Linked DNA regions of Ovis aries. The protein of the gene in region 2 purifies or fractionates together with the protein of the main gene of each other region. This does not show direct contact. Links are inferred from orthologs where the notes say so. Each region holds a gene or a part of one and is shown on either strand. Other genes may lie near its edges. The genes, in order: MTCL1, MARK2, FUCA1, ARHGEF2 and UTRN.

What was found.
Region 1: the proteins of MARK2 (region 2) and MTCL1 purify together in Homo sapiens (affinity purification with mass spectrometry; 5 studies listed by BioGRID and IntAct, with this or other methods). This does not show direct contact. The link is inferred for Ovis aries from reciprocal best matches to the Homo sapiens genes MARK2 and MTCL1.
Region 3: the proteins of MARK2 (region 2) and FUCA1 purify together in Homo sapiens (affinity purification with mass spectrometry; 3 studies listed by BioGRID and IntAct, counting the BioPlex papers as one, with this or other methods). This does not show direct contact. The link is inferred for Ovis aries from reciprocal best matches to the Homo sapiens genes MARK2 and FUCA1.
Region 4: the proteins of MARK2 (region 2) and ARHGEF2 purify together in Homo sapiens (affinity purification with western blotting; 3 studies listed by BioGRID and IntAct, with this or other methods). This does not show direct contact. The link is inferred for Ovis aries from reciprocal best matches to the Homo sapiens genes MARK2 and ARHGEF2.
Region 5: the proteins of MARK2 (region 2) and UTRN purify together in Homo sapiens (affinity purification with mass spectrometry; 4 studies listed by BioGRID and IntAct, with this or other methods). This does not show direct contact. The link is inferred for Ovis aries from reciprocal best matches to the Homo sapiens genes MARK2 and UTRN.

What each region holds. Positions count from the first base shown.
Region 1 is NC_056076.1:41,731,409-41,735,666, reverse strand, and holds part of MTCL1 (microtubule cross-linking factor 1), read right to left. Parts: exon of another isoform or gene 3,369-4,258; coding exon 3,072-3,368; exon of another isoform or gene 1,508-3,071; coding exon 1,476-1,507; exon of another isoform or gene 627-1,475; intron 348-626; coding exon 1-347. UniProt on the Homo sapiens protein: Microtubule-associated factor involved in the late phase of epithelial polarization and microtubule dynamics regulation.
Region 2 is NC_056074.1:38,652,502-38,657,399, reverse strand, and holds the start of MARK2 (serine/threonine-protein kinase MARK2), read right to left. Parts: upstream 3,260-4,898; 5' UTR 2,862-3,259; coding exon 2,808-2,861; intron 279-2,807; exon of another isoform or gene 99-278; intron 1-98. UniProt on the Homo sapiens protein: Serine/threonine-protein kinase. Involved in cell polarity and microtubule dynamics regulation. Phosphorylates CRTC2/TORC2, DCX, HDAC7, KIF13B, MAP2, MAP4 and RAB11FIP2. Phosphorylates the microtubule-associated protein MAPT/TAU.
Region 3 is NC_056055.1:242,805,669-242,809,926, reverse strand, and holds part of FUCA1 (tissue alpha-L-fucosidase), read right to left. Parts: intron 3,233-4,258; coding exon 3,098-3,232; intron 948-3,097; coding exon 810-947; intron 1-809. UniProt on the Homo sapiens protein: Alpha-L-fucosidase is responsible for hydrolyzing the alpha-1,6-linked fucose joined to the reducing-end N-acetylglucosamine of the carbohydrate moieties of glycoproteins.
Region 4 is NC_056054.1:105,989,942-105,994,199, forward strand, and holds part of ARHGEF2 (rho guanine nucleotide exchange factor 2), read right to left. Parts: intron 4,203-4,258; coding exon 3,952-4,202; intron 3,746-3,951; coding exon 3,620-3,745; intron 3,326-3,619; coding exon 3,208-3,325; intron 3,011-3,207; coding exon 2,762-3,010; intron 1,221-2,761; coding exon 1,144-1,220; intron 678-1,143; coding exon 508-677; intron 1-507. UniProt on the Homo sapiens protein: Activates Rho-GTPases by promoting the exchange of GDP for GTP.
Region 5 is NC_056061.1:69,059,716-69,063,973, reverse strand, and holds part of UTRN (utrophin), read right to left. Parts: intron 3,467-4,258; coding exon 3,338-3,466; intron 1,121-3,337; coding exon 950-1,120; intron 1-949.

The DNA.
Region 1 (4,258 bases), on a different chromosome or scaffold from region 2:
CAGCACAGACGAAGTTCCGCAGGGGCTGCTTCTGGCAGTGCTCGGGGTTGGTCACGGTGTCCGTGGTCAGGGTGATGCTTGTGGTGAGGTACCAGGCGGCATCAGAGAAAGGTTCGGTGCTGGCCTCGGGCCGTGTCCGCCCCACCTCGGTCCTGTCCGCCCAGGGGTCTAGAGGCCTGTCGTCCCAGCTTTTGCTGTTGAACTCCTCGATGTACTTGAGGTCATCAGGGGACAAGGGTGGGGTGACGTCCTCCTTGCTGCATGTGGGGGGCAGGCCCTTCTCTGGCAGGAAGGGAGAGCCATCCATCAAGCGCTGGAACTCAGACATGGACGACACAGACACGGCCCTGGGGAAGGGGAGAGGAGCGGTGTGAGCTGTCACCAGCTAGGGAGCCATGGCCCCGAGACCCCCAACCCAGCACAGCCCACGGCCTGCCCATGTGCACTGTGCTGACGGTCTCTGCTCGGGCTGACCCTTTGGGTTTTTATGGCTCTGAAATTGATGCAGGAGCCTTGGACTGGTCAGAATTTACTACGGCTGACTCTCAAAACTGTGGGGGTGGGCGTGGTGCTCCAGGGTAGTTGGAGTTGAGCTCCAAGTCCCTTCCGCACTGTTTTGTTCTCAGCCTGCAGCAGCTCCACAGGAAGACGGGAAGCCTGGCTGTGGCCTGGCCTCTCCGTCTACTGACAAGCACCCTTGATGCCAAATCTGCAGGAGTTTCCTGAGTTCTCGCCTTAGAGCAGACGTGACTACACCACAGTCCAACCCAGATACAGGCGTGGCAGGGAGGAGGAGAGGCCACCACAAAGTAACTGTCAGCTGATGTCCCCTCTACCCGCTCGCCTCACCTCTGTCAGCTCAAGCACTACCAGTCTCCCAAGGGCAGTGGACGGGGTGTTCAGGCTGGTGCATGATCCCAACACCATTTCAAACAGACGTCCCCTCTGGGCTCACTCCTCCCCTTGCCTTCTGCTCCATTTAAACAAATTTGCTTATATGGGCCTTTTCAGACATGTCCCACCCTTACATATGTGGGTTACTAGAAAATGATTACAAACACCAGCTACTTTATATTTACTTCAAGGATTACTCTTGGTAATACTGTAATAAGTCCTCCTAGGAGAGCTTTTAAACGGTCAGTCTAAAATGTCTCATAGCATATCAAGAGAGAGTTTTTTCCAGGCTTTAAATCAAAAGAGAGGGGTTTCCATGAACTTTTCAAAAACCATTTAACACAGTTATCCCCTTAAATACACAGCTCTTGCACAACAGTAACACATATGAACACGGTGCTGGCCTTTTCGTTGTTAACGATCTAAATACCGTATAATAAAGCAACTACTTCTCCACAAGTTTTACTCTAAGTCATTTTTGAAGAGAGTCACAGTGCACTGCTGACTATAGATAGATAGACTTTTAAGACCAGGAGGTCTTTCCTGCAGTAGTCTATTGTCATTTCATCAACCTTACTTACCTTTGAAGATTTCCCTTGTGGTTGTCTTCTTCCTGTAAAGAAGAAAATAAGTTCACTGGAATCAGTCAGTACTGGCAGATTTGGGGCTGCTAAGGGGTCTGTTTTTCTCTTAAAACGTACGTGGAAGCCAAGTTTGGGCCAGGAGTGCCTCTGCCCCTCAGCCCTTGGAAGGTCAGTAATGACACCAGAATCCAGAGGCGATGAGGGAGGGCCTACGTGAGTGAGAAACACTGGCAGTAAGCTTTGCCCCAAGGCAGCTCTTCTGTGTTTCTCAGAGGGCAGTGCTGTGTGTGAGGGCCTCAAAGCTGCCTCATTAATGACATGTGTGTGAGAGAGAGTGCGTGCAAGTGAGAGAGGAGGAGTAAGGGTTGGGAGGAGGGTAAGTCGGGGTAGACGTCCCCTGGCCTCAGCCTGACTAGAGAAGTCAGCGTGAAAGGCACAGACATGACATAGAAAATAAACAAGCTACAGGATATGCTGAATGGCACAGGGAATGCTGCCAGTATTTTATAATAACTGTAAATGGAGTATATAACCCGGAAGAACTGAACCACTAGGTCGTACACCTGCAACTTAACATTGTACGCCAACTGTACTGCAATAAAAAATGAAAGAAAAAAAAAGTGTGATGTCCTTAGATAGAGCGCTCTTGGTGTTTAAACGTCGCCCTTGAGCATTGGGAAAGCTATAGTGACTTCCACTAAAGAGAACTGCATACATGGTTCTCCTGAGCAGAGGATACCCTTGTGCGGACCCAGTCCAGATGGAGTGAGGCCCCAGCCAGCAAACCCCTCAAGGATCCCCCAGAGAGCCCTGGCTACTGCACTGGTCAGCATGGGGTCGGGACACTCCCACTAGAGACCCCTAGGGTGGCATGCTGGTGATGTCACCTCTGCTGGGGTTCAGGTGCCGAGGAGGAGGTCCCCACTTCCAGCAGCACTGCCTGACGGGCACCCCCATCTGCTGAGCATGTGGGACAGGTCAGATGACAGGTGCAGCTACTGTGAGACCAGCACACAGGGAATGATTATTAAAATTAGTCTTTAGGAAAACCCACTGCCATCCTGTAGGGATTTCTGCACAGAGCTAAGCTTTCCCCTTTACTGATCTAAGTCCCATAGCTTTCTAGTGTTGGATTTTTTCCCCCTCTTTACATAAAGAAGGTATTTATTGTATGTCATTGGTTACTGACATTTGCTACTTCCAATGTGAAGTACTTTCTTTAAAAAAAGACTTTTCTGTTATTAATATGTTTTCTGAAATCAGAGACTGTGCTGTAATTTTAAGGAAATCAGCAGTTCTCCACTTCTGGGATCATCTTTTTCCTCCTGGATTTCACTGGACGACTCCTGCTCCTGAGACTCCTATTCACATGGGACACAGGCTCTGAATTTCTGACCTTGAGATTAAGCGGCCAAGTGCAGCAGGAAGCCTGGGGTCAGGACCACCTCAAAGCTCTCACATCATGGAAGGTTCACTTTTACTAACCTCAGGGCCACAATATGCAGAGCCTGCAATGCAGCCTGTCAGCTACTCAGCCAGCTTCCCAACCCCTCACCCTCCTTTGCAGGTGACTAGACCCAAACCCAAGCTGACCTCATGGAAGCAGTTCCTGAACTCCCTCTGGGGCCCGTGGGCCGGGGGCTCCTCTGGCTCATCATCCAGGGACAAGGTGTCCAGGTAGAGATTTTCCCGTGCTGAGCACCTGTCCGATTCCTTCAGCTTTGACAGCGGCCGGTCCTCAAACGCATTGGAGTCTGTGTCCATACAGGGCCACATCCCTGTAGGGCGGGGCGCCCGAGGGCTCCCTGGGTGGGTACAGGAGCCGGCATCCCCTTCCTCTTGATCACAGAGGAAACTGCCACCTCTCCGGGGACTGTTTTCTTTCTGCAACTTGAGGGTTTTAAAAGTGAAAACAATTAGCCTGAAGATAGACATCTTATGTTCTTAAAGTTCTGGCATCGATTTAAAAAATAACACCACAAGTGCTTTAAAAAAAAGTCACAATTTTGGAAAATTATCTGGACTAGAAATATCTGCATTAACCACAGGCAAGTCAGCTGCTTCTGTAGCGAATGTTATTGTATGTATAACTGAGTGCTGTGCTCACAGGAAATCACACATTTGTTTTTAAAATCTAACATTGCCAAATGACACATTGAGAAATCCCTTTTTGTAGTTACCTTCTGAATGTAAGACACATTCAGTGGAAAGCCATCAGTGACAGCAGACTTCTGGGGTGAATTTGGTTTTCTTAAATAGCAAGGTTTCCTAACAACAGAGCATGGTGTCCAAGTTATTTGGAATAGGTCCTACATAAACCTTGCGTGATCGCCTGGGTTACAACCACTGGGTGTTAAAAACAGCTCACACTTTGCTTGAGAGGATGAAAATTTAGCTACCGAGGTAACCTGAAGATCTTGTATGACTAAGAAGTAAGCATGTGAGCCACATAGACTGGAGTCGTACTCTTCCCTGACCTGGTAAATAGAAGCAGTAGGTGGAAACCACAGGAGACTGGAGCTGCTGTATGTGGCTAGTCCTCTCGCTCAGTGTCCCCACCTATAAGGTGGGTGCCTCCCCTCTGGGGCTGCCGGAGGACTGCAGGGCCAGGCCCACCCTAAAGGCCAGTGGTTCATCAGGGGACTACCACCAACTCCCCTCGGGCCTGTGGGAGTCCTTGGACCTGGGCACACTGATAAATGCCTCATCTCTTCCCAGCGCGAGGGACCTTCAGGAGGAGCCCATGGAACCACGGGGACGGGCAGGGACACGTGTGCAGG
Region 2 (4,898 bases):
ACCACATCCCTTGCTTTTTATCTCGCAACATTAAGGCTTCTACCACAACCACTTTAGTTAAACTCACAACACGACCAAGAAGAGCTTACTGGTCTCACCTGGTAGCATGATATAGTCCAAAAGAGGCCAGTGCTTCAGGCCTCTCTGGCCTTATGACTCGAAGAGCTGTTACATTTTTTTTTCTTGTTTTAAAAAATACCACATCTGCTTGTAAGGTTTTTCAAAATCTTTGTTTTTTCAAGGCGAAGACTTAATATCAAGTCCGTAGTGGGACTACCCTGAGAATAACAGCAGAAGCGATGAAGTGGCTCGGGGGAACCTAAATACACAGACTGGAAACAGGATGAGTAATTCATAATTTGGAGCAAGATGACAACGTATGCAGCCAGTTCTCTGGACAAAGTTATCAAGTAGCACCTTACATTCCCAAATGGTTCACAGAGTTCGGCTATCATAAAATCGGTGGGAGGCAAGCACCAGGTTCCTGCAACATGCTCAGGTGTGTGTGAGGCTTGAAGGGAAGAGAGGAAATCAATGCACACATCACAAGAAGACCGTGGCAAGAATACATGTACACCGAGTAAACAACACAAAGAAAGCACACTGAGGCACTCAGTTACTCTGCTCTGCTGAACACAATGCCCCCCACAGCCCTGCTGAGAGAGTAGGCACTCCACCGCCACGCCCCAGATGCCTGCGGGTGCCAGTCAGTCACTTGGCTTCCTCCTACCAGCTCAGACTCAACAGTCTGGGAAAGTCCTCTGGTTAAGCAGGGTTTATGTGCTAAATAAAGGTTGTGATAGGTAACCTCGAGAGGGCCTTGAGAAAGTGGTTCCCAGGAAGAAGAGAAACAGCTGGCATTTGAGGGCAAGACTGAGATGGAGACCATGCTCCTGTTTCTAAAGACCGCAGTCCCATGCCAAACCCAGTGATACAGTGGAACTCAACCATCTCGCCCTCTCAACCTGTTTCACCCCCTAGAAGCAGTCCGGCCATCCACAGGTTATGAAAGGGTCAACCACTGCAGAAAAAACTTATCCAGAACTCCTCTTAAGGTCCTGACTGTCCAGATGACAGAGACTGAGGGGCTAACAAAAGAGAAAAACACTGGAAAAATGAAAAGCGGAAAGATTTATTTTAAGATGTTAATGTTAATATGCAAGAGGTATTAATATGCAAGAGAATATAACAATGGTTCTATTGCACTAGCCAGAAAGAAGGGAACAAGAGGAAAACATAATGGATGCAACAAGAGAAAAGGACCCAAAAAAGCACTGCAAGCCCCAGGGGTGAAGAGCTCTTTTTTCAAGTTAATTTTTTTTTTTTTGCCTAGTAAAGTTCTCCACCAGGAAAGGTGTGACAGGCAGAGGACTCTCCAGAGCAGGCAGCAAGGGACACCAGAGATGGTGAAAGAAAGGGGAGGGGGGGAAAGTGGACGCCTCTCGGCTGCAAGGTGAGATGACACAGAAAGGCTAAGGCTTGGGTGACAAATGATAGCAGTGATTGCCAGGATGAGGGGAGAGGGAGCAGCTCAAGAAATCAGCATGCAAAATTCCTGGCCCTGGGAGTCACAAAGGCTAGCCGACCACAAGCGGATGGACAGGGGCATACGTGGGGGGAATAAATATGATGTGAAGAAGGCTGGCAAAGAGTACGGAGATGAAAGGCAATCCTGATCAAGAGGAATGGTACTAAGAAAGATGGGGTGAGGGCAGAGAAACGGGAAGGCAACAAGCAAAGGGGAAGATACTAAGAGACAGGGTCCTGAGTGAAGAAACAGGAAAGCATAACGGCCCGGCTTGTGTTATGGTGTAAGAAGACAGAACCGGGAGGACCAGGATGAAGCGAGGCCTGGGAAAGGACCGCGCAACAGGTGGTGTCAATGGAGCAGGGCTGAAATAGAGAGTCTTTCCCTCCGCAGGAAGAGCCCAGGGAGAAGGCTTGGTACAGCACTCGCAGTGAGAAACAGGAGGCCAAGCCAAAACTTAAAAAAACAAGCCCCAGGGGAAGAGAACGTGAGGGATCTCGGGAGCGTGAAGGGAGTGAAGACTGGAACCCCGAAGACAACCTGTGGGAAAACTATGCGCATGACAGCTGTACGGGGAAACACGGAAGCAACAAATGCCAGCGCGAGGCACCAGGGAGCTCCTGGAGAAGAGAAGGGAAAGTGATGAGCAAAGAGTAGGCGAGCGATTTGGAAAGGTGATGAGGGTGGAGCTGGTGGGTTGCAAGCAAGAGGGCGAGCACAATGTGGAACAGGAGGAGGCAGGGTAAAAAGCCGGGGAACTGACAGGGGACAGGGATCGAGGTCACAGTCCGGGGCAAGGACCCTGAGGGTGATAACTGGGACTGGGAGAACCGGTGCGGGCAGAGGGGAAGCGAGGCTGGAGAGATGGAGGAAGAGGTGGACAACGATCTGGGGCGAATCGCAGGGTGCTGGTCTAGGAGCAGGAAGGTGGCTGCTTTCAGCGTGGGTGGAGGAAGACCAAAAAGGCCCCTGAGAGAAAAAGGGAAGAGAAGAGGAAGCTGGGGAGGTAACACGGAAGAGCGCAGGAGGGCGGTGAAGGGAGAAGGGCCAGGGGGAGGGGGGTGGTCGGCAGAAAGACAAGTGTGCAGCTTGGAGTCCGGACGAGGTGGGTCCCCGGACAGGACGCGGAAGGGAGGTGTACGGGGCCAGGAGCCAGATGACAGGGCAGCCGAGGCTTACAGGCTGGCAGCCGGGGCACGAAGAGAGCTGAGGAGGGAGGAGGCTCTGCAAGGTGCAGGGGCCCAGCCAAAGAATGTGGGGAGCCCTCCGGGCTCCTTACCTGCTCGGTGTCCCTCTCGTTCAGCGTGGGTAGGGGGGTCCGAGCGCTGGACATGGCGCCGGTATCTCAAGGGAGGGAAACCGAGAAGCTTGGAGGAAGGGAGGGAAGGGAAGGCGCGGAGCCCGGCCGGGCGGGGCTTCTCACAGCAGGAGCACCCGCCGCATGGGCCCCGGCCGGGGGTGCGGGGAGGCCGGGCTGCCGTTCACGCCAGCCCGGGGATGCGCCGCTCGGGCTAGGCCGCGCCGGCTCCGAGCAGCTCCGGACCGCACCCCCCCGACCCCCGGCTGGGCCGTGCCGCCTTTCGGCCGGGCCGCGCCGCTCCGCCTACTTTCTGCCGCCGCAGCCGGCCGCCTGCCTCGCTCCTCCCCTGCCCTCAGCGGCACTGCTCCGCGCCCGGCACACAGGCAGCCGCCGCCGGACCTGCTGCTCCCAACATGGCCGCCACCACCGCCGGTCCTCGGCTCTTTCCGCCGGCAGCAGCCGGAAACATCCGAAGCGGCTAGAAACGGGAGGGAGGCGCTCCTTCTCCTCCCAGCCACCGACTACTGGTGAATTCCGGAAACACCCGAAGAAGGTAATCCTGGGGACGCGCGCTGCTCCGCGATTCCGAAGACCAAGCTTCGGCTCTGTTTACGGAAATCTACGAAGAGACTCCGGGTACTCCAGCCACGCCTACAGGCCTTTCCCCGCCCACTTCAAGCAGGTTTTCGGCAGTTTCCGGAAACACCCGAAGCCTCTCCGCGCGCTGGGAGCGGGCCACGCCCCCATCCCGCCCCGCCGCGGACGGCGGTCGTCGGCCATTTCCGGCAACACCCGAGATCGGGCGAGTCTCGGGTCATTCCCTCGGATGGTACCCAAAGTCTGACTCTTCGTTTCTTTCCGTCAGTTTTCGGGTATTTGCAAATCTTGACCAGGGAGCGTAGATCACGTGTGCGTGTTACTATTTGACTAAGTAGAAAATAAAACTGTTAAGCCCTGGTATTGACATCGTTTGGTTCTAAAGCAACTTCCTATCTGTGTGTCCGTTCCTCTTAGTCAGCTCATTAAATACATCTCGTTTATCATCCAGCCTATCTATCAACATGTGAGTCTCCTGTCAGATGCAGCGTTAGTCTATTACCTGTCTACCTACCGTTCATCACCTGTTGTTGTCCATCTTGGCTTCTATTTGTCTATCCGTGTACCCCACATCTAATCCACAGGGCTTCTCAAGGTCCCTGGCAAACACCAGGTAAACGTCCTTGGCTCCCAGCTGCCAAAGTCTTCAGAGATTCCCTCAACCCTGCATTCTACCTCTAGCTCTTTGCAGTGAAAATGCAATGGGATCTTGGGGAAAAAAATCACATAATATCTCTGTTTAGCTCCTCAATGTCCCTATCTTGAAAGAATCCATGCCTTTGTTCCCGTGATGACATTCTAAATAATATCTTTGGATTTGTACCTTTTTTATTTTTTTCTTTCAAAAAAAAGTCTTCTAATTGTTCAAAATAGCACAAAACGGCATTGCACTATGGCAATATTGAGTCATGCCAGTTCCCTTTTTAAATATCCCTCTGAGGTTGGGCAGGAGAGACATTCTCATCTTTAATCACATTTCACTTATCCCTTCTAAAACAAGGAAACTCATGGGGAAAATAAAAGAGAGAAACTGGTTGAAAAATGAGGATTCTTCAGGATGGCACAAAGAATGAACAACTGGAGGCGTTCCTTTCCTTTATGGGCCTGTTTTCCTATTAATGAATAGAGGTCACTATTCATAAGCTTGAGGTCCCTCTCATCTCTGGAGAGCCTCTTACTTTAACAGGAAGTCCATGTGGCAATCCAAGTTCACTCTTCACTTCCCCCTAGGTTACCTCACCAAGGACAGTGAATAGACCGGCAGGTGTGATTCCTCTGGCTGTCCCCACCCATTGTACCCCAGACATGTTGGAAAACCATCCCTCAAAGCTACCCTAGGTTCAACAGCAGTTTAAGGTAGACAGAAGCCAGAATCCCCACAAGACCCAAAGACCAACCTCAAGCAGCGAGTCTGCAGAAGGTACAGAGAGAGGCCCAAGAGCTTGCAGGAAAAGAGTGTGGATTGGACCTCTG
Region 3 (4,258 bases), on a different chromosome or scaffold from region 2:
CCTTTAGGATTGACTGGTTTGATCTCCCTGCTGTCCAAAGCACTCTGAAGAGTCTTCTCCAGCACCACAATTTGAAGGCATCAATTCTTTGGCCTGCCTTCTTTACAGTCCAACTCTCACATCCACACATGACTACTGGAAAAACCATAGCTTTGACTAGATGGACTTTTGTTGGCAAAGTAATTTCTCTGCTTTTTAATATGCCGTCTAGGTGTGTCATTATTTTTCTTCCAAGGAGCAAATGTCTTTTAATTTCATGGCTGCAGTCACCACCTGCAGTGATTTTGGAGCCCAAGAAAATAAGTCTGTCACTATTTTCATTTTTTCCCCATCTATATGCCATGAAGTGATGGGACCAGATGCCATGAACTTAGTTCTGTGAATGTTGAGTTTTAAGCCATCCTTTTCACAAGCTGCATGGCACAGCCAAAAAAATGCTTGAGGGGAAAAGAGCCAGGATTCAACTACGAATCTGCCAGACGCCAAACCCTCTGTAGGGTCCATTAGACCATGTTGCCCTTCTCCAAGCTCCTGACAGAAAGTGGTATGGAAGGAGTTACCTGAGGTTTTGACTTACTACCATCCTCAGTTCTGTTTCAGTTTATAAAAGCAGCATGACCATACTATGGAAGTTTTGAAAAGAAAAAAGAAAAAATATACTTTGTCTTAACACAATGATTACTCATTACTGTTTTGATGTCTTCTAGAGTTTTTTCATATTCCACCCCTACCCCTTTCCCCTCAACAGTATAAGCAGCTCAGATGTCACTGATGAAAGTCATAAGGCTAAAACAATTTCTGTTTTGTACCTGTTAACAAGGTCATAGAGTTCTGGCATTGTTTTTGCATGGACGAAGGACTGTGTTTTGAAGCCGTTTTCCTTATCACGTAGGTAGAGAGGATGGAACCATTCTAAAAGTGAATGATATAGTCCATAGCGTATGTCCCTGAAACAGAAAAACAGGACAGCAACTGTCATTAAGCAAAGAAAAAATATTTTAAGAAAAATCAGTTGCCAGAATTTTTACATCTCAGTGAAATTTATCCATAGGGCATACAGGGGTCAGGACCCACAGCCAGTTCCTTAAATTATCTCTTATCATTCACTTAAGCAAAATGATTGGCTTACTTTGTTTTTGATGATATAAATAACAAATTAGGCTTCCCAGGTGGCGCTAGCGGTAAAAAACTCATCTACCAATGCAGGAGACACAAGAGAGACAGGTTCTATCCCTGGGTCAGGAAGATCCCCTGGAGGAGGGCATGGCAATCCACTCCAGTACTCTTGCCTGGAGAATTCCATGGACAGAGGAGCCCGGCGGGCTACAGTCCATGGGGTCACAAAGAGTTGGACATGACTGAATTGACTTAGCAGATAACAAATTATCTTTATACATAAATTATCTTGACACCAAAATGTTATTTAAACCATTTTCTGTCTTTTGAGTCAATTATCTCAATAACTTATAGTACTATTAAAAATGTTTTCTGTTAATCATAATACATATTGAAGAGATACTGGAAAATAGAGACAAATACCAAGAATATCCAAAATCTCATCACTCAGAAAGAATCACTAGTACCATTTTCTGTGCAGTTGAAATTAATGAATATAGGTTTATTGTTTCATATAAGATTTACTAATAGTTTTTAATATACCTGAAACAAAATATGGTTAAATTTACCTATTTTCATATACAATAAAACTTGTGAATTAAGAAGAGTGAGTGTTTTGGAAATGCTATAATACAAGAAGTAACGATAACATTTGCAATGGCATAGATAAAGCAGAAAGAACTGAAGTTAAGAATTTCATTATGTGATTCAGTGACTGACTAGATACAGAGAAGGTGAAAATCAAGGCTCTTAGAATTCAGATCTAATCAATGTCTCAGACTTTTACAGCAGGACTATTATCAGCAGAGCACAGCATTGGGAACCTGAATGTTTCACAGGTGACATAAGTCAGCAAATGCTTTCTTAAATGACCAGATAACTTTGAGGCTTTGTAGGCCTTGCTATCCGAGAAGGTGATGGCACCCCACTCCAGTACTCTTGCCTGGAAAATCCCATGGACGGAGGAGCCTGGTAGGCTGCAGTCCATGGGGTCGTGAAGAGTTGGACACGACTGAGCGACTTCACTTTCACTTTTCACTTTCATGCACTGGAGAAGGAAATGGCAACCCACTCCAGTGTTCTTGCCTGGAGAATCCCAGGGACGGGGTAGCCTAGTGGGCTGCTGTCTATGGGGTCGCACAGAGTTGGACACGACTGAAGTGACTTAGCAGCAGCAGCAGCAGGCCTTGCTATGTCTACCCCAACTCTGCAATTAGAGCTTGAAAGTAGCCAGAATCAATCCCTAAGTGAATGAACACAACTGTATTCCAATCAAACTTTATTTATACAAATAATTAGCTGGTCTACCCCTTAAACAGGACTTCAAGTTTGCCAAATCACAATAGAGCTGAGTGGGCATGACACAAATACCACTTTTCCTCCTTACAGGCAAATATACTCAGAACAATAGGGTCCAAAATCAGAACACCTGGGTTCAAATCCCACTTCTGCCCCTTCCCAGCTCTTTGACCTTGGGAAGTTACATCTTAAGTGGCAGATATTAGAAAATATTACCTAGAATCACGAGTGATGCCTTACCTCCCTTTTTGTTGCTTTAACTGCCCTCTTCAGCTCTCTCCTCATTTACCCCCCATCTAAACCTTCCAGGAAAGCCTACAAAGCTCTGGGTTGACAGCTAAGGACACAAAGATGAGACACAACCCTGGCCTCCACCAGACACTGGGAAAGGCCCTAGGCTGGAAGGCTTCCCAGAGAGAATCCTTTGCAGAGCACAAGTGCAGCGCTGTGGTCTATGCTGGGTATCCTTCACCAAACCAGAGACGGCCGTGCACTTCTCTGATGCCGTCACTTCTGGTCACATGGAAACTGCCAAGGTTCAAACACTGCCAATTCAGGGCCAGAAGCCCTCCCATGTACCGGTTAAGTGCAAACTTAGAAAACACAGAAGTGTAGGGAAGGCACGGGGTACTGGGTGGTTAGATCAAAAGCGATGATGGGGTGGCTGTCCGTGGACACGCACCTCTTCCGGATGGCTGTTCCCAACTCACCAACCAAATCACGATGGGGTCCCACATCCTTAGAGTTCCAGTTCCAAGACACAGGGCTTGGCCAGTTTGTGTAACCTTCGTGATGCTTTGTCGTCAGGACTACATACCTGTGGACATTGAAACCATATGAGCCAAGGAAGTGGGCAGTGGGCCATGAGCACCAACTTACCTGGCACGCCTGAGGCTTTTAAAATGGTTGAGGGAACTCAACTACAGGAAATGTACAGCTGACCCTTGAACAACATGGCGGTTAGGGGGTGGTTAGCAGGTGTCTGCTGACCCCTGCGCAGAAGGAAATCCATGTGTAACTCTTGACTTTGCCCTAACTACTAATAGCCTACTCTTGACTGGAAGGCTTACCGATAACATAAATGGTCGAATAACACCCATTTTGTATGTTATATGTATAATCTGCTGTATTTGTACAATGATGTAAGCTAGAGAAAAGAAAATGTTAAGAAAATCAAAAGGAAGGGAAAATGCATTATAGTACTGCACTGCATTTATTTTTTTATTTTATTGGAGTATAGTTGCTTTACAATGTTGCGTTAGTTGGAGATTGGGCAGAGTACTGTATTTATTGATACCAGAAGTTTACATTGTCTGTTTACAAGATGAACCACCTGTCAGTATCTACAGCAATACTGTCTTACATGATACAAAACACTGCAGACGTTAGCTGTTACTAACGCTAAATATCAAAGCTGGAAAGCTACTGTGAAAAAGCAATTCATATTTATTTGTAGTTATAATGATTCATTCATTGATAATGAAGAAACAGCCACATGATTGCTTTATAGTAGCCTAATGCAATCAATATGATGGCTTCATGATAGCATAGCTTATACACTGATGAATGAATCATTATAATTTTTTTATGGCATATGGTATTACACTCATATTCAAAATATGGGATTGGAAACATTGTTACATTTTTTAAAAAGTCACTTGAATGTGATGATAGGTTGAGTTTTGGGTTTTTTTAATTGGAGGCTAATTACTTTACAATATTGTAGTGGTTTTTGCCACACATTGACATGAATCAGCCATGGGTGTACATGCGTTCCTCATCCTGAAGCCCCCTCCCACCTCCCTCCCCACCCCATCCCTCAGGATCAACCCAGTGCACCAGC
Region 4 (4,258 bases), on a different chromosome or scaffold from region 2:
GCCAGAGATTTGCTGCTTTAGCACACAAAATGATTTCTTTGTAGCCTCTATCGTATGGAGTTTGTTTCAGTCTTGCCCCTCTGATCACTAGTATCAATGCTTTCATTATCCTTTTTTTCTTTTTTTTTTCATTATTCTCTTTTTCATTCATTTTTAGAAAATGAAGGTGAAAGACAATACAGTCCAAATAATGGCCCACTGCCTACAGACTAAGATGTTAATGGAGGTGAAACTGTACTGCTGACTGGCAGGCATGCCGGCACGTGCCAACTTAAAGTATTCCTTTGGCTTGTCAGCTCATGGTGCATTCAGAAGGCGGTTGGGGTTGTCACTGTATAAAATGCAACTTTACCGGGCAAGAGAACATAAATGACCTTGCCTGCCTTGGGCCATCTTGTCTCTCTCCTGGCCTCTCCTTCCACTTCTGAACCCTGGGTTCTGTTCCCTGGGAGTGCTGTGGTCCAACGCCCCAAACTGCAGGAACCACAAGTCCATGCACACACTCACACTCGCACACTCTGCTGAATGACGCGGATCCAGGTGCTCCGGTCATCCCGGGATGCCGTGTGGACCTCGTACATCTCAGGGGGTGCCGCACTGATCAGAAACATCCCTTTCTCCTGGTTAGCGATGTCCCGCACGATGAGATTCTGCAGTGACACCACCGAGGGCTTGTCCTGCCAATTGGGGCACAGGAAGGATTAAAGCTGGGAATCCTGACCCCTGGATATTTGAGTCTTCAGTCCTCCTGGAGTATCCAAAGGATTGAAGAGTCAGCCGAGAATATAAGTTAAGAGCTCAGACTCTGGTGCCAGCCAGAGTGGACTTAGAGAAACGTCTGTGACCTTTGACAATTTAATTAACTTTAAGCTTTACTTTTCTCATCTACAAAAAGAGGATAATCATGTGCCTTCCTAACACGTGTAAAAAAAAGTGGCTGCATATAGTAACAATATGCGTTGGCTCTTCTTATTCCTTCTGATCATATTTATATGCATTGGCTCTTCTTATTTTTCCTGATTATATTACGGCAGTGGTTACAATAATAGCTATTTGATGTTGGAGGATTTCCTGGCCAGGGTAGGAAAGTAAGAAGGGTCTGAAACACTTGTCTATGCTGAGAAAGAAGGTGGAAGGTCTCACCAGGGCAGGAAAGATGTACTTCTGGTCCTTCTCTTGGAGAAACACCAGCACATCTGTCATCAGCAGCATGAGCACATCTGGCAGGGGGATGGAGGCAGGAGGAGAGTCAGCGTTAGAGGATGCGAGCAGCTGTTTCCCTTTCCCCGACCTCTCTCCCTCTGGTTGTTTCCTCCCCCTTCGCAGACCTCCCACCTCTCCCCATTCCTACAGCTCAGAAACGGTGGGGGGCGGGGGGGACACATGTGTCATCAGACAAAACAGTTTCTTGGGCTAGAGATGCCTATAAGCAATCACCCAGTGGCCTTGAATAAAAGCCTCTTTATCCAATGAATGCTCCTTAGCCTGTGGTCTGCCGACACCTAGGTTGTCTGCTATCACGCTTCAGAGGCTCTGTAGATCCTCTAAAGTTCCATAAGCAATTTTTACATATTAATCTATCACACGTGTGTTTTTCTGTGTGAAAGGGTCCAGAATTCTTGTGAGGGTAAAACGACTCCCAGAGCCTTTCAGTTCCATGTTGAACAACTGACATAAGATCTTTTTGGATATTTGGTCTAAGATTCCCCCCATGCCAGCATATTCCCCACTTCTTATTTTGTGCTCCATGGGGAGGGGAACAGTTAGGTTCCTTATTCATTTCTCCCACTGTTGAACAATCCCAATCTCCTTCAACAACAGCAGGCCCTGCTTTCATTTTCCTTTTCTGCCCCACCTTCAAGGCCCTCACATTCTACGGGGTCCTGTGCTTTAAGACTTGGGGGAGACAAAGGTCAACCCATGAAAGTCAGATGTCACAGTCAGGAAAACACATGCATCCTCTGCCCTTGGAGATCTTTCTAAGTTGTGGGCACACAGAAGGGGAGGGCTTCTGCTAAAGGCTTCAGAAATAAAGCTCTTCAGCCTTGCTATTTTTAACCCCCCCATGGTTTATATTCTTAGCTGCTGCGTGGGAGGGATGGGAAGGAGAGAAAGGGATGGAGGAAAGTGGCTGGCAAAGCCTGCAATACTCAAGCCTATGGAGTGGGGACTTCACGACACGGGACAGAGGTGCAGGCAAGCTCTGGCCTCAGGTAGCATTCCTCACACCTAAAGCTGAGGTCTGCGACTCTTCTGCTTTGATTTAGGTAGGCAAGCCTTGCCCAGTATAGTCTGGGAAGAGAGGCTGGGACAGTGCGCCCCGCCCTGAACACACCTTCCCTGCAGTCTTTTCTCTTCTCCACTTGGCCCGCCCTTCCCTGGGCTCCACCCCCTCCAAGGGCCTTCCTCAGCTGTGTTCCCAAAGTGCCTGCCCATTCCCCAGCCCTAGTGGCTGGGACTCCAGCTGGTAGAACCAATTACCAGGGGCTAGTCCTCTAATCCTGGAATTTCTCTGTTTTTCTCATCAAAATCGGTAGCTTTCTGGGCATGCAAGGACCAAAGGAATGAACAAATCCTGACAACGAAGTCCTTGTATCGCCCATGAAATTAAATCCAGAATTCTGACTTTTGTTACAACAGAGCTCACATATTTTCCTCCCACTGGGTCTCACCAGGGCTACATTAAAAGAGGTCCTATGGGCTTGGAGGCTTCTCCCTCTGGCCATGGACTCTTGCCTGGTCTGCCAAGCTGTCCACTGACCTTTGAAGCGCCCAGTCGCAGTCTTCCAGAGCAGGCAGCCATCGTGAATGAGCTTGCGCCGCAGGAGCTCCTCTCGGCCAAAGGGGCCCTTGCCGGGAACCGGGGCCTGGGCCCGAGGGTCCATGCGGTTGTAGATCTCCTGCAGGCGGGCCCCTTTCTCCAGCTCGTGCACATCCTGGTCCACGTTGGACAGCAGCTCCTTCACCAGCCCCAGGGCCGTGGTCAGGTCCTGGCGCTCCTCCTCCATCCCTGACACCGAGGTCGGCGTGAGGAAGGGGTGGCCCAGCCAGCTTCACGCCAGTCCCCAACCCACTGATCTCAATGCCGCCTTCAGAGGCTGCCCAGGGTTCCATATGTGACCCTCTTCCTCCCGGTGGTTGTCCAGGGCCACGCCTCACCCCTGACAGCCCTCTCCCTCCTCCTCCCGCCTGGACTCGCCCTCTCACCGTGGGAATGCTGCAGGATGCGGTTGATGAGCACTGGGTACTTGGTGATGCGCTGAGTCACTAGCAGAATGCACTCTTGTACCCCATGCCGCTTCAGCACCGCCGAGCGGGTCACTTTCTACAAAGCGAGGTCAGGGCTCAGTGCCAGAGGGGCACCCGCGGGGAGGGCACCAGAAAGGACGCTGGACTTGGAGCCTAAGCCCTGGTGCCTGCCTGCACTTGGTCATTTACCTCATGCTGGCTGGCGGGAGGTTAATGACTCTGGAAAATGGGGCCGACAAGGTCACAGGTTTACTGTGAGGACCCAAGGAGCGAGAGCACTCGCTCTACCCCTGGAAAAACGAGCAGCTGTGTCCACTAGGGCTGGGGCACTACAGGAGGCGGAGGGTGGGTCTTGGAGAGGTTTGCTCACCCGGATGAACTGCTGGAAGCGTTTGTCTCGGGCATACAGCTCCTTATAGAGTTTTAAGGCCTTGGTGTGGCGGCTACAGAACTCTGAGTAGGTCTTCCGCATCTGCTCTGCGCTAGGACCTGAGAACTAGAAGTTGGGGGAGCAAGGCTGGGTCAGCATGTCCCCCAAAGTCACCTCTCATCCCCAATGCCCTCTCGCCTCCTGCCAAACAGGCTGGCTTCCTGCCTTTCCAACTCTCTCTGCCCCACCCCCCAGAGTCTGGAGATGAGAAATGCCCACTCTAGTCACACCCCCGCCCAAGACTGCTGCCCAGGGCTCCTGGCTTTTCTCACCTGGCTGATGAGCAGGTCCCCCAAGCGATGGATGACGAAGTTCCGGGTGCTACCAGGGCATAGGGCATGGCGCCGGCGATCCAGCAGCTGGCTGAGGAAGCGCGTGTGGATGTCAGTGAGCTCGTCCACACAGGGGAACAGGCCCTGGACCACTCCTGGCTCCAGCTGCAGCTCTTCCAGCATGCCCGTGCGGAAGAGGCGGGTCATGATCTTCAGTGTCCGCACGTGGTGCAGCTCTGTCTGGATCAGCTCTGTGGGGACGGTGGAACACCCGGCTTGGCCACAACTGGTGGGGCCAAGGCTGGAG
Region 5 (4,258 bases), on a different chromosome or scaffold from region 2:
TATGTCTCTTATATTACTCTTTTACATTTGTAGAAAAATCTCCTATAGAGCTACTGAAAAGACTAAATAAGTAAGCTTAGGTCACAAGGTAAGGAAGGCAAGAGTTAAAGCAAGATTTTTGTTTGTTTTCTTTAAGTTGCAAATAATCTAAATATATTCTTGGGCTATGAGAGATAGTTTGGCCTATTATATCAGATATTTTGGGATTCCCTGGTGGCTCAGTGGGAAGAATCTGCCTGCAAATGCAGGAGACCCAGGTTTGATTCCTGGGGCAGGATGATCCCCTATAGAAGGAAATGGTAACTCATTCTGGTATCCTTGCCTGGGAAATCCCATGGACAGAGACGCCTGGTGGGCTGTAGTCCATGGGGTTGCAAAGAGTCAGACAGGACTTAGCGACTAAATGACAACAACATCAGATATTTCAAAACAAAGCAAAGTTAGAGAATATTTACTTCCTACAAAAAAAGAGGACCCTCCTCTTAGATAATTTGAATACTTGAAACCTTTTCTCAAATGGGTTATTTTCTTTAATACTAATTTCTTAGATTCTCTCCTTCATTTGGACAATCATAAATAAGAACGAATGCTCAATCAAAGAAAAGTGATAAAACCATTTTTGTTTAATTTTTTTGTTGTATATACCATATAATTGAGGCTTCCCAGGTGGCGCTAGCAGTAAAGAACCTGCTTGCCAATACAGGTAGATAAAACAGACGTGGGTTCAATCCCTGGGTGGGGAAGATCCCCTGGTGAAAGGCATGGCAACCCACTCCAGTATTCTTGCCTGGAGAATCCCATAGACAGAGGAACTTGGCAGGTTACATTCCATAGGGTCGCAAAGAGTCGGACACGACTGAAGCAACTTAGCACGAGCACCATGTAACTATCTACCATTCAGCTACATATCTACAAGAAAATAGTTTTATATAAAAACATAATTACTTACTTTGGCACTTCTGATGTGTTGAGAGACTTTTTCAAAATTTCTGTTCAATTCAGCTAATTTTGGTTCTACAAGCTCCCGGCTTGAGCCTCCACGTGCACTCATCAAAACAACAGCTTGATCTCGGACGTTTTGTACTTGGAGATTGACATCATCCATCTCAGAGAGTAAACGCTAATTGTAAGAAAGCACGAAATAATCACATGGAAAAAATCAAAACCAAACATGGGTGCAGTGCTAACTGGGAAGTAAAGGGAGCTTAAACAAATGTCTGAGACTTCTAGTAAGAGACTTCTGTACCATCAATTTGAATAAGAGCTGTTCATATATTTAACGAGAGAGAGAGACAGAGACTCATTCATGCTATACAGGAAGCATTTTAAACTACTCCCAGTTTATATAAAACTTTACTTTATAATTGAATAGTCTATAAGATTTATTGTGTCATTTCCTCAACCATCTTATTCTAAGAATTGCAAAGTTTCTTGAGGCTGATAAAAGATTAAGTAGCAAGGAACAGACTTTAACTTCTTTTCCCCCTAGAAATCTTGTTTACCGCCATCCCCCTTTCCTTGGTGAAGGTAAACTGGTTTGGAAGGGAATTGAATATTACCATTTAGTTTTTAACTAAAATGTACAAGAACATTACGCAGTCTCCTCTGGCTAATTTCATAATGGTCATTAAATTCATTTTCAGGCCTAAGAAAGGGATGCAAATACCTGCCTCAATTCCTACTTCATTCATAAGTTTTTGAAGAGTGCTGGAATTCTCTCAGGAGTATGGCTATGAGTACTTTTTGAGTACCCGCTTATCTGTATGTATCTATAAATTCTGCAAATGTTTTCCTTGTGATTACAAGAATGAACGATACCACAAGGCACTCAGTGATCTAAGACATGGAGCCTAATCCACTGTTCTGAAGAATCTGTGCTTGTTATGGTGGCTGAGAGAAATTAAGTCGTTTGAGGAAGTAGTTTTTAAATTAGTGTATGCAGATAGAAACAGGAGAACATCAGCTTAACTATGGAACTTTTAGAATGTGTTGTCTTGCATCTAAATCTGATTGTCATATTAAAAAAAAAAAAACAGCCACTGCTTGTCTCAAATTTCGCTAGTTATGTAGAGATTCTTGAAATTCTCTTTAAGAAAAATCAAGCGGAAAGAAAGAAACACTTGGCAGATAGGTCTTGGCTTTCATGAAAAATTGTCTAAAGGTATGCTAAACATATGTTAGTGATCTAATAAATGTAATAAATTTAATAAATTCACTAAAAGTGTAGTCCAGGAAATAAAGAAAATGTAGTGAAGAAAGGAAACTATCTCATTCTTTAAAGGTTTATAGATGCATAATAAAACACTCTAAAATGGTTTTGTTTCATATAAACCATCTGGTGTGAAAAAAGCTCTGTAACATCTAAAGGACCTGAATCAATTGTTATTTTGCTGGCAACAGACACATTCTTTATTGTTTGCAGGTTCCTCATCAAATCTTTAATTATGCAGTGTTTCCTGGCATCGATAAACAACGTGAAGGGGAAAAAAAGATTCATTCAGTGATGTCTGCAAAATGTTTCGAGAGTATATTTGTAACCCAGAATTCAACTGTTCATCCATATCTGATGCGTCAGAGAGTTCCAAAGAAGGATTGGTGGGGCCTGAGCAGTAGATAGAAAAGATTTCCCAGGGGGAATTCTTAAAAGTTAGGTCTGACCTTCAACTTTGAAACAAAATGTAAAAACACAGGAAAGAATAAGGGCTACTCTTAGAAATTTTCTGAGACTCTGGAGTTCCCAAGACAACAAGTTCTTCTTTGCTTATCACCAGTGCATAAGAGTATCAAGAAGCTGAGCAAAGTGAAGAAGTCTGCCATACGGCACTTCTGAAAAAACATACTATCTTTTCTTTCACAGCAGATTCCTCTGAAAAGCTGGATCAGTGGGGAATACGTACCAAGAAATGAAAGCCAATTACTCATTATGAAGTCTGTTTTGCTCCAACTTTCTGTAGTGCCACCAAATTTTGCAAGTCATGAAAAAAATAACTAAAACTGCACTTCTGCTGTTAACTAATGATGCAGCATTCAACTATGCACCATGACAAAATGAAGTATTTTCTGTCTTCCCAGCTTATTAAATTACAATGGAAAAATTATGTTAACAGCCCCATAATGTGGCACTTTTAGATGCCAATTCTTACCTAAGAGGAATGGAACAAAAATTTAGCTAAGACAAAAACCAAAACAAACAAAACGACTCATTTTGTTTATCCCACCAACATAAAAGTTAATAAATCTGCACGAGAAACACATGTGTGCAAGTAACTTGGAATATTCATCAAGACAAAGGAGATAGCTAAACCTTCCATTCTCAGAAGTGTTACTGATCTGCTACCTTCACAATTTCTTCTCGTTTGCTTGCTGGCTTTTTTTCGATCTCATCCAATAGTGCTTCAGCTTGATAAAGCCAGGTGCTTATGTGAGCAACATTGCCATCAAATATTTCCAACTGGTTCTGATGGTTCTAGAAAGGAATTAATAAAACACTGATACAACCATATGAAATAATTAAGACAATAATCTTTGAAGACATTTAAAAGGTCTTCAAACACCTAAGTAATGCTGAATTTGAAGAAGAACTTCTACCTTCCTGCAAAGCTCTTCCGCAGTGGATAAATATCATTCCAAAAAATGCACAGCTGTAAAAGTGAAAGTTTTAGTCACTCAGCCGTGTCCGACTTTGCAATCCCATGGACTGTAGCCTGTCAGGCTCCTCTGTCCACAGAATTCTCCAGGCAAGGATACTGGAGTGGGTAGCCATTCCCTTATCCAGGGGATCTTCCCAACCCAGGGATCAAACCTGAGTCTCCCACATTGCCAGCAGATTCTTTACTATCTGAGCCACCAAGGAAGCACAGCTGTGGTTGGGTACTTTTTCATTTTAATTTAGACCTCAAAATAATGAAAAACTGAAGACTAAAAGGCAAAAAGTTTCTTTATAAATTTCATTTTATTTTAATCCCTATTTCTCATTCATATACTACAAATAATCTTATTGGCCCTGCCTTGATCATATTAGTTAAGAACTCATTTAAGGCAGCAGCAGCATTTAAGTACTAGTAAAAAAGCATTTCAAATATGGTTGAATAGATTTTGCCTACTCAAAGCTTGAGTGCTTGAGGCAGGGCCCATGTCTTTTCACCTCAGTACCATCAGCACTTAATAAGACACTTGGCATAGATCTCAGTGATATTTCCTGAAGCATAATATAACATGTGATTGAGTTAAATTTGAAAACAGAAGCAAACACTTAAGT